Linked DNA regions of Lepisosteus oculatus. The protein of the gene in region 1 interacts with the protein of each later gene in a pairwise test. Links are inferred from orthologs where the notes say so. Each region holds a gene or a part of one and is shown in the gene's direction. Other genes may lie near its edges.

Evidence for each region. The genes of interacting proteins can lie anywhere in the genome.
Region 2: the proteins of atpaf2 (region 1) and lrrfip2 interact in binary tests that used the Homo sapiens proteins (3 or more experiments, as listed by UniProt). The two-hybrid records come from large-scale screens. The link is inferred for Lepisosteus oculatus from reciprocal best matches to the Homo sapiens genes ATPAF2 and LRRFIP2.

The regions. Positions count from the first base shown.
Region 1 is NC_090714.1:17,606,895-17,610,644, reverse strand, and holds the start of atpaf2 (ATP synthase mitochondrial F1 complex assembly factor 2), read left to right. Parts: upstream 1-1,225; 5' UTR 1,226-1,461; coding exon 1,462-1,567; intron 1,568-1,798; coding exon 1,799-1,843; intron 1,844-2,174; coding exon 2,175-2,323; intron 2,324-2,668; coding exon 2,669-2,766; intron 2,767-3,106; coding exon 3,107-3,187; intron 3,188-3,626; coding exon 3,627-3,739; intron 3,740-3,750. Other genes in the region: gid4 (glucose-induced degradation protein 4 homolog), read right to left, coding at 564-752. UniProt on the Homo sapiens protein: Plays a role in the assembly of the F1 component of the mitochondrial ATP synthase (ATPase).
Region 2 is NC_090705.1:25,398,381-25,402,130, forward strand, and holds the start of lrrfip2 (leucine-rich repeat flightless-interacting protein 2), read left to right. Parts: upstream 1-1,571; 5' UTR 1,572-1,993; intron 1,994-3,750. UniProt on the Homo sapiens protein: May function as activator of the canonical Wnt signaling pathway, in association with DVL3, upstream of CTNNB1/beta-catenin.

The DNA.
Region 1 (3,750 bases):
TTAACCTCCTATAAAACTCTCACAGTCCGAGGTACACTTTGTATGTGACAAGGATCACGTCATTTACAGCGCAGGTCTGGCTGCTGTGACGACTATGAAGAGGGCAACTGAGGATCTGGATGTCTTCAGTGACTGTTGTGCTTTTGGTACCAAGCCTAACCTGAAAAGCATAAGCCTTAGAACCTCCAATATTGTTGTATTTAACACTTATAAATTATTTTAAGTCAAACAACACAGTCCTAGGAGGTTAGAAATTGCTACAGTCGACTTTTTACTGGGGCTGTTCGAGCTAAGAAGAAGTTCTCAATAAAACTGAAACAGTGAAAGATTGAAAACAAAAACACCACAATCCACCTCGATAACACCACAGGGATAAGAACGATTTCAACACAACTTAATGTGAGATTGATCTCAACTGAGAAACGCGTCTACAAGTTTTTAGTTAATCACCTCCCCAGTGATATTAATACGTCTATGATAATATTACGTCGTTTTACTGGCCAGATTGTATGTTAGTCGATGACACTAGGCTCCGGTATAAATACTCTTCGTTTCTTACTTACCTGCAAAACAACCTCGACATCGTACGAATTCCCTTTGCTCTTCTGGTGTCCGCGGAACTTGGAGCCGCTGTACAGGAGCGAGGTGGCGACACCCGGCTGCTGCGTGTTGATTGGGGGAGGCGGGATAAGCGAGGCCGAGGCTATAAAGGCCGCACAGGCGGTACTGCAGCACTCGGTCCGGACCGGCATGTTTATCACGTCTGAAGGTCGCCCCAGCTATGGCCGACGTACGCCACAGAGACGGTAACAAAAAGGGGACAGGGGGAGAACTGTCGAGGCGGCTCACCGACTCACGAATTCTCCCCAGCCGCCGAGAGATGCGCTACCAGGGTCCCAGCAAACAGTAGGGACCTCAACGCAGCACCACGCAGCAACATCCCGCCAGCCTATTGGCCAGGGGAGCGCACCTGGCAAAGAAACCGCCGCTCATTGGATGGCCTTCTGAAATGCATTTTGGGACTTGTAGGTCTTCTAGCCCCGATCTGTAGTTTTTCCTCCGTTCTCCCGCAGTCGAACTCCACCTCCCATAACCCACCTCAGTGACCTTCGGACTGTTTCCGCCCCGTTCCTCAGGTTTCCCAGCGGCCATTGGAGAGCGTGTCCGAGGAGCAGTGACGCGCTTGAGGTCACTGACATGGCGGCGCCCATGCGGTTGAGCAGGTTATGACTGACCCTGGGAATGCGATTCTTTAAAGGGGAACACGTCCAAAAACACCATTAAAATATATGTGTATTGATTGCCGGGTAACTAGGATTCGATAATGCAGTGTGATAATGCATAATTTAATCAAGTGTCATAAGTCCCTATGACATGCTTTAATGCTTTGGTTACCCTGCAAAAGCGCATGAAATCGATTTGAGGTCGTGATTCCCGAAATAAGAAGAATCTGTCAGAGAGATGTTGCGGGGTCTGGCCCGGTTGTGCAGGAGAGGCGGCACCGCTGTCCAGTCACCGTGCGGCTGTGTCGCTGCAAGCTCGCCGGCATACTCTACTGCGACCCCGGGTAAGAGCCGGGTTCTGCCCGGCGTGTGGGAACTCGTGTCGCTTTGTTAGTCAATCGCTGATTCCGATGTAATTGCACAACAAGCTGGATGCCCGTAATGCGGCAAATGTATTCTTGTGTTCCGTTCTTACACAACCATGGTGACGTCTCTAGGTTAGATCATGAAAATACATTCTCTCTGTTTTTAATTGCCCGGTTCAATCAGATATTCGTATTTGCTTGTATCCACAGGGAGGAAGAAGTTCTACCAGGACGTCAGTATTTCACAAGGACAAGGTGCGGTATGAAACACATCCTGTTTTTTTCCTGAGGTAGACTGTAACAGATAACAGTTTTGTTTTAATATTGTGTCTCCTTTTTGTATTTATGACGATTCAATAAAAACTAAAAAAGAAAGAAAGAAACGACAGCAAGCCGTTTGGCTGATCTTGCCCGTCTCCAGCAGAGCTGTATTTGTCTTGTATTTTGTATTGTTCTGCAAGTGGATAAGTGTGTGAAACAGTGTCTCAGTGCTCCGCTGTGGTGAGGAATGTGCAGACGAGGTCCGGATCGGCTCAGGCTGAGTGATGTGCCGTGCTGTTCAGCGCCCGGTCTCCTGCGCCTGCAGGTGGGCTGTTTGAGATAAACCTGGACCGCGGGAAGCTGAAGACCCCGGGAGGGAAGTTGTTCACAGTGCCCAGCGAAGTCTTGGCAGTTGCCGTGGCGACGGAGTGGGATTCCCAGAAGGACACTCTCAAGTTCTACACGATGCACCTGGTAGGAACCTCAGCTCGCAGCGGGCAGCGTGTGGGGCCTGTGTCCTGAGAGTCCTGTCCAGGGTGTATCCCCCACTGTGGCCACTGCCTGCCGGGATTTGCGTATTAACCTCTGGAGTCAGAAAACCATCAGCCACTTGTGTACTCATTTAGTTTCCACTGGGTTCTTTTGTATGATCGGAAGCCAAAGAAATCCCCGAAAGGAACCATTCTGGTTTATTCCAAAGGGAATAAACTCTTAATTCTAATTAGGACAATATTCCAGCATTCAGGAACCCGAATCTCTGGAAGTTTCTCTTGAGATGTTGAAGGGCTGAGGTAACAGGCCCCGCTCTGTCTCTCCCAGACCACACTGTGCAACACGGCTCTGGACAACCCCACTCAGAGGAACAAGGAGCAGGTGATCACAGCCGCGCTCAAGTTCCTGGAGACCGACACCGTCTGGTGAGTCGGGAGTGGCCGAGCTGCGCACTTTCCCTGGCACTCGGCACCATGGGGTGGGCACAGGCTGTGCCAGTCAAAAGGCAGGCTTGGGGTGGAAGAAATTTATCTGAGCCTGTAATTAGGGTCCCTTTCCTCTTCCCTTGAAACCACTCTTTTGCCAGCTGTCTGTGTTCATGGTCATTTCCGTTGTTTTGCTTTACTGTGTCAAGGGAGCAATCTGGCGCAGACTTCAGACTCTTACTTTGCTGCCTAGTGTTTGTGTTCAGATCCCTGTGACAGGGGCTGGCTCCTGAGCTGCGGGTGATGGTTGTTTCACTGGTTTCTTTCTGCCTCCGGGCAGCTATAGGGTGGAGGAGCCCCCAGGGCTGGTGGAGCTGCAGAACAACGAGTGGGACCCCGTACTGGACTGGATTGAAAAGAGGCAAGTCTAGAAAGAGCTGCAGAGCTCAGGAGTGAAGAACATTAGAGCATACAGTGCAGGGTCAGGGCAGGTTTGTAACTAGTTTTAGAATAGAAATAAACATAACTAGATTTTGATGAGGCAACCGTGGATTTGTTTTAATTGCATAACAGATACAGCAGCGGTCTTTAACCCAGCTTCTGGAGAACTACATTGTTTTCTAGCTTTGATAGCATTCCAGAATTCTCCTACAGGAATTTATCATTTGCTAATGATTAGCCAATCATTTTGACACCTTTTAAACTAGAATACAGCAGGACTTCACAGGACGGTGGTTGTATTCTGAAAACTGTCCATCAATTAGCTGTGTCACTGACACCTTTCATATGTGTATGTGTGCTGTCCTGACACCTGATTACCACCACAGACCTGAGCTCGTTACTGATTGTTTTCCTCACAGGTATAATGTTGTGATCGGCTCCTCCTCCAGCATTATGGGCCCTTTGATCCCTAAGGAGACGAAGGCCACTTTCCGACAGCACCTGGCCTCCTACAACTTTTGGGCTCTGATAGGTACGGCTGGG
Region 2 (3,750 bases), on another chromosome or scaffold:
GTCCAATAAGATCCAGGAGTCTTCCTCGTTCGCAGTGTTCCTGACTACACCGTCCCAGTCTCCGTGACCCAGATCATGCCATTCCCTGAGGAGCAGACAGAGACAGAGACCAATCCAATTGTGAGACTACCAAGTCTCTCCTGAGGACAAGGGACCTGGTGGGGAAGGGGGGAGTCTGTCGATCTGCTCATTCCTTGCCCTTTCTCATCTGGCTCCCTCTTTCCTGCCCTTTACCCCTTTAAAAGGACTGAGAGACCCCTGCTTGCTCTTTTCTCACCTGGAACTGTTGAGGATCAGCATATCTCTCTCTTCTTCTCATCTTCAACCTGGTTTGCCTAACCCCTGTGGATAGCACACCCACTGTAAATAAAAAAGGCAATAAAAGCTTTCTCAGAGCCAGAATAACAGCTTGCTTGCCTCCTTCCTATCACTAACTGTCTAAATACGCTCAACCTCAACATCACAATAGTTGACTAAGCTGTTCCAATGCTTAACTTCTGAAAGTAAGGGAGTGAGCTAGATTAAATAACCACTAGACTTTATACTTTTATTTTAACTCAAGCGAACAGGACACCAATTGATGAACTGGATATCCTCATTCTTTTAGTATCTTAACATCCTTTGTGTAATTAAGAGAGATATCCATAAAAAATCTAAAAAGTTGCAGATACAGATGTATTTCCCCAGTAGAGGTCGTTGTTTCTCTGTGAAAGAAGTAAGACTCGCATTAATTTTGTAGAAAGGTTATAAAAATTCATTTTTTCTCCAGATTGAAGGGTGTGTCAAAGGATACTAGGTTTATCTAATAATAGGAATTTCAGATAACTCTAGGCTATGATCTTTTATTACCTTACAGATATTCTTAAGTACTGACTCACCTATACAATTTCTAAAGACTTACCTTTTCCTAAATCCACAGACTTTAAACTTTTAACTATAAAGTATGGACTAACATAATTTATAATAACTGATTCTTTCTACCGTACTGGATTTTATTATGTGTGAATTTATTTATAATACGTCTGTCTGCTATAAAAAACTACTTTTTGTTAAGCAACAGAAAAAGAGTTGAAATAGTATTTAATGACAACATCTTTTAAGCTGTTTAAATGTATCAGTGGTTTCATGTACATATACTGTACTTTCATTTCTAAGGTGCTTGTTGTTTCCGAGTAGAAGAGAAAGAAAAAACGAGATAACAGTTCACAGTAGATCGGAGACCCATTGGGCAGTAGTAATGAAGGTTATCGTAAAAGATTTTTCCGGTTTTTACATTTATCATGTCTGATTAAACACGTTTTCAAGCACATTTTGAGGTTGTAAGGAGTTAACTGTATTTGATAACTTGTAAATAAGGCAAACAACGATTATATTAGCAGTTCAGTTCAAATAAAGCAATATGTTGTAACTCTCCCTACATCCGCAAAAACTCAGAATATGCACATTGTGTTTATACAGTAGATATCGATATGTTTTCGCTTCTTCTTTGTCCATGACACTACACCCTATGAACGCGTGACACTATCGTTCTATCTTAAATGAAATCATCAGCGTCCGCCTCCACCCTAGCCGCACACATCCGGGCATTGCGGCGTCATCGGGTCACCCCGAGAAGCTGGCGAGCGAGGAAGAGACAGGGAGCCGGAGCCGTTTGGGGAAGGGGACTCGAGTAGCAGGAGAAAGACGCTTCTTCTAGCGGCAGCTCTCTGAGGAAGAAAAGAATATAAAGAGACGGCTGGAAAAAATAATAATAATTAAAACAACCCTGTCCTAAATTAATGCCAAGGGAATCCTGGGTGAAAGAGAATCGGGATTTCTTATGTTAAGGTGGACGAATAAGCGGCGGTGTCAGTTTGCGCTGTCACACTGGAAACGGAGGTGAAATTATAACTGCAAAAAAGGGTCTGGCCTTCTTCCTATTCTGAGCCACTTTTCTCTCCCTGGACACTGTGTTTCTGGTATATCGGCATTCTTCCGTTGAACACTGTTAAAGGTAAGTGCTTTGGATTTAAGAAACTCTAAATAAAATATTTTGAGAAACGCTGTTTTCTTGATTGAAATGGGAAACTGCACAAATGCTCCTAGATGTCACTCCGAAACCCAGGTGTACGACTGCCGTCTTTAAAAAATCACTTTACAGCCGATTTGTCGCGCCTTGTTTTTGAGCCGGTGGGGTTAGGATAGTGATGAAAAAGGATCACTTCCTGGATTTTCATTCTTTCCAATTAAAATGATTACATTAAATTCCGAAAAGCTGGCAAATGGTAACTTGCAAGCTCTAATGACGGAATTGTTCACAAATCTTTGGGTGACACCGGCTATTTGATATTGCCGAAGTCGAAAGTGAAAATGTGGTGTGGAATATTGTAAATAAATATTATTGGCATTCTGGTTGTTGCACTTTTAGGGTAAATAACATTATATGGCCGTCCACTAAAACCTTCTTGTCAAGCTTTGGGATTATGACTTGACCAAGTTGGAAAAGTTATGAGGGCATGTATTTAAATAATTTAAAAAAATATTTGACAGCCATATATTAAATAAAGGGCTTTATTTACAACCATTTTGTCCTAATAAGCAAATAAACTTTTTTGCGTTGGAACAAATCTGTTTACACAGATCAATAAAGTGGCACCATGGTTTTCATCCTTCACAAAAATAGTACCACAGAAATGTTGGATCTGCTTTAAAACAGCAAAGCATTTTGAGTAACGGTAATACAAATGTATTATGAGCTCTAAAATATTTAATGAGGTTTCCTATAACAAAGGAAATGCAGTATTCCTCATTGCAATTACTTTTAATAGTAAACAAAACCTTTTAATCTGCAGGTTAGTTCGTTTTAATGGGAAATACGTTGTTATCTGCTTTGAATGCCTGTTGTTTGTAATGATTGCCAAATCACAATAATGATTTTGTTGCTAAAAAGAAACACTACTGATGATGAGCACTATCTTCACTGGGAGCAGTGTTATCTTTTAAATAACTAAACTTATGTATCAGGCTTAGAAGTAATACCGCTGAATGTTTTGTTGTGGGCTAGCATAATGGAAATTGAGGACCAAAGTGTAAGAATTTTGATTGGTAGCTAGAAGAAAAAATCACTTGTCTAAGCTGTAATTTTATTGTACCGATTATAAATTTATTTGTGGTTCTGTTTTACAAATCCCTTCCTAAAATTTTCATTTGAGATATGACATCAGGATGAGGTGCAAAATAGAACAGAGTTTACATCTGGTTCTGTAAAAGTCTCTACTTGCACAGCAAAAATTAGAAAAACATCACCCATTCTGTTCCAGTATGTGTTATTGTTTAATGCTAGTTTAAGTCTGCATAAACATGTGGAAAGTTATTTTCATTTCCATTTAAATATTGAAACCACATAAGAGTAAATTAAAAATAAAGACACTTAAACTTTAAATGCTTATACTGTATGTGCTGTCTTTCTAAAAGGGGCTGGAGTAAAACATGTAATGGTGATAGATAAAAATGTTTAATAGATGTTCACACAGTCTTCCTAAACTTCTCTGTGAGGTCGCAGGAAATTCCAACTGTGTTATTCAGCAATACCAATCACCATTTTACTGTCAGCAAAAATAGCTGTCAGTGTAAGACAGGCCTGATCACAGCAACCTCAACCGCCACGCCTAATTCACAGTTAATGTGGGCTGATGGATGCCTCTTGCATCCAGGAAAATTGGTACAGGAAAATATTAACAATTAAGTGCTTGTTTTAAAATTATAATGGTT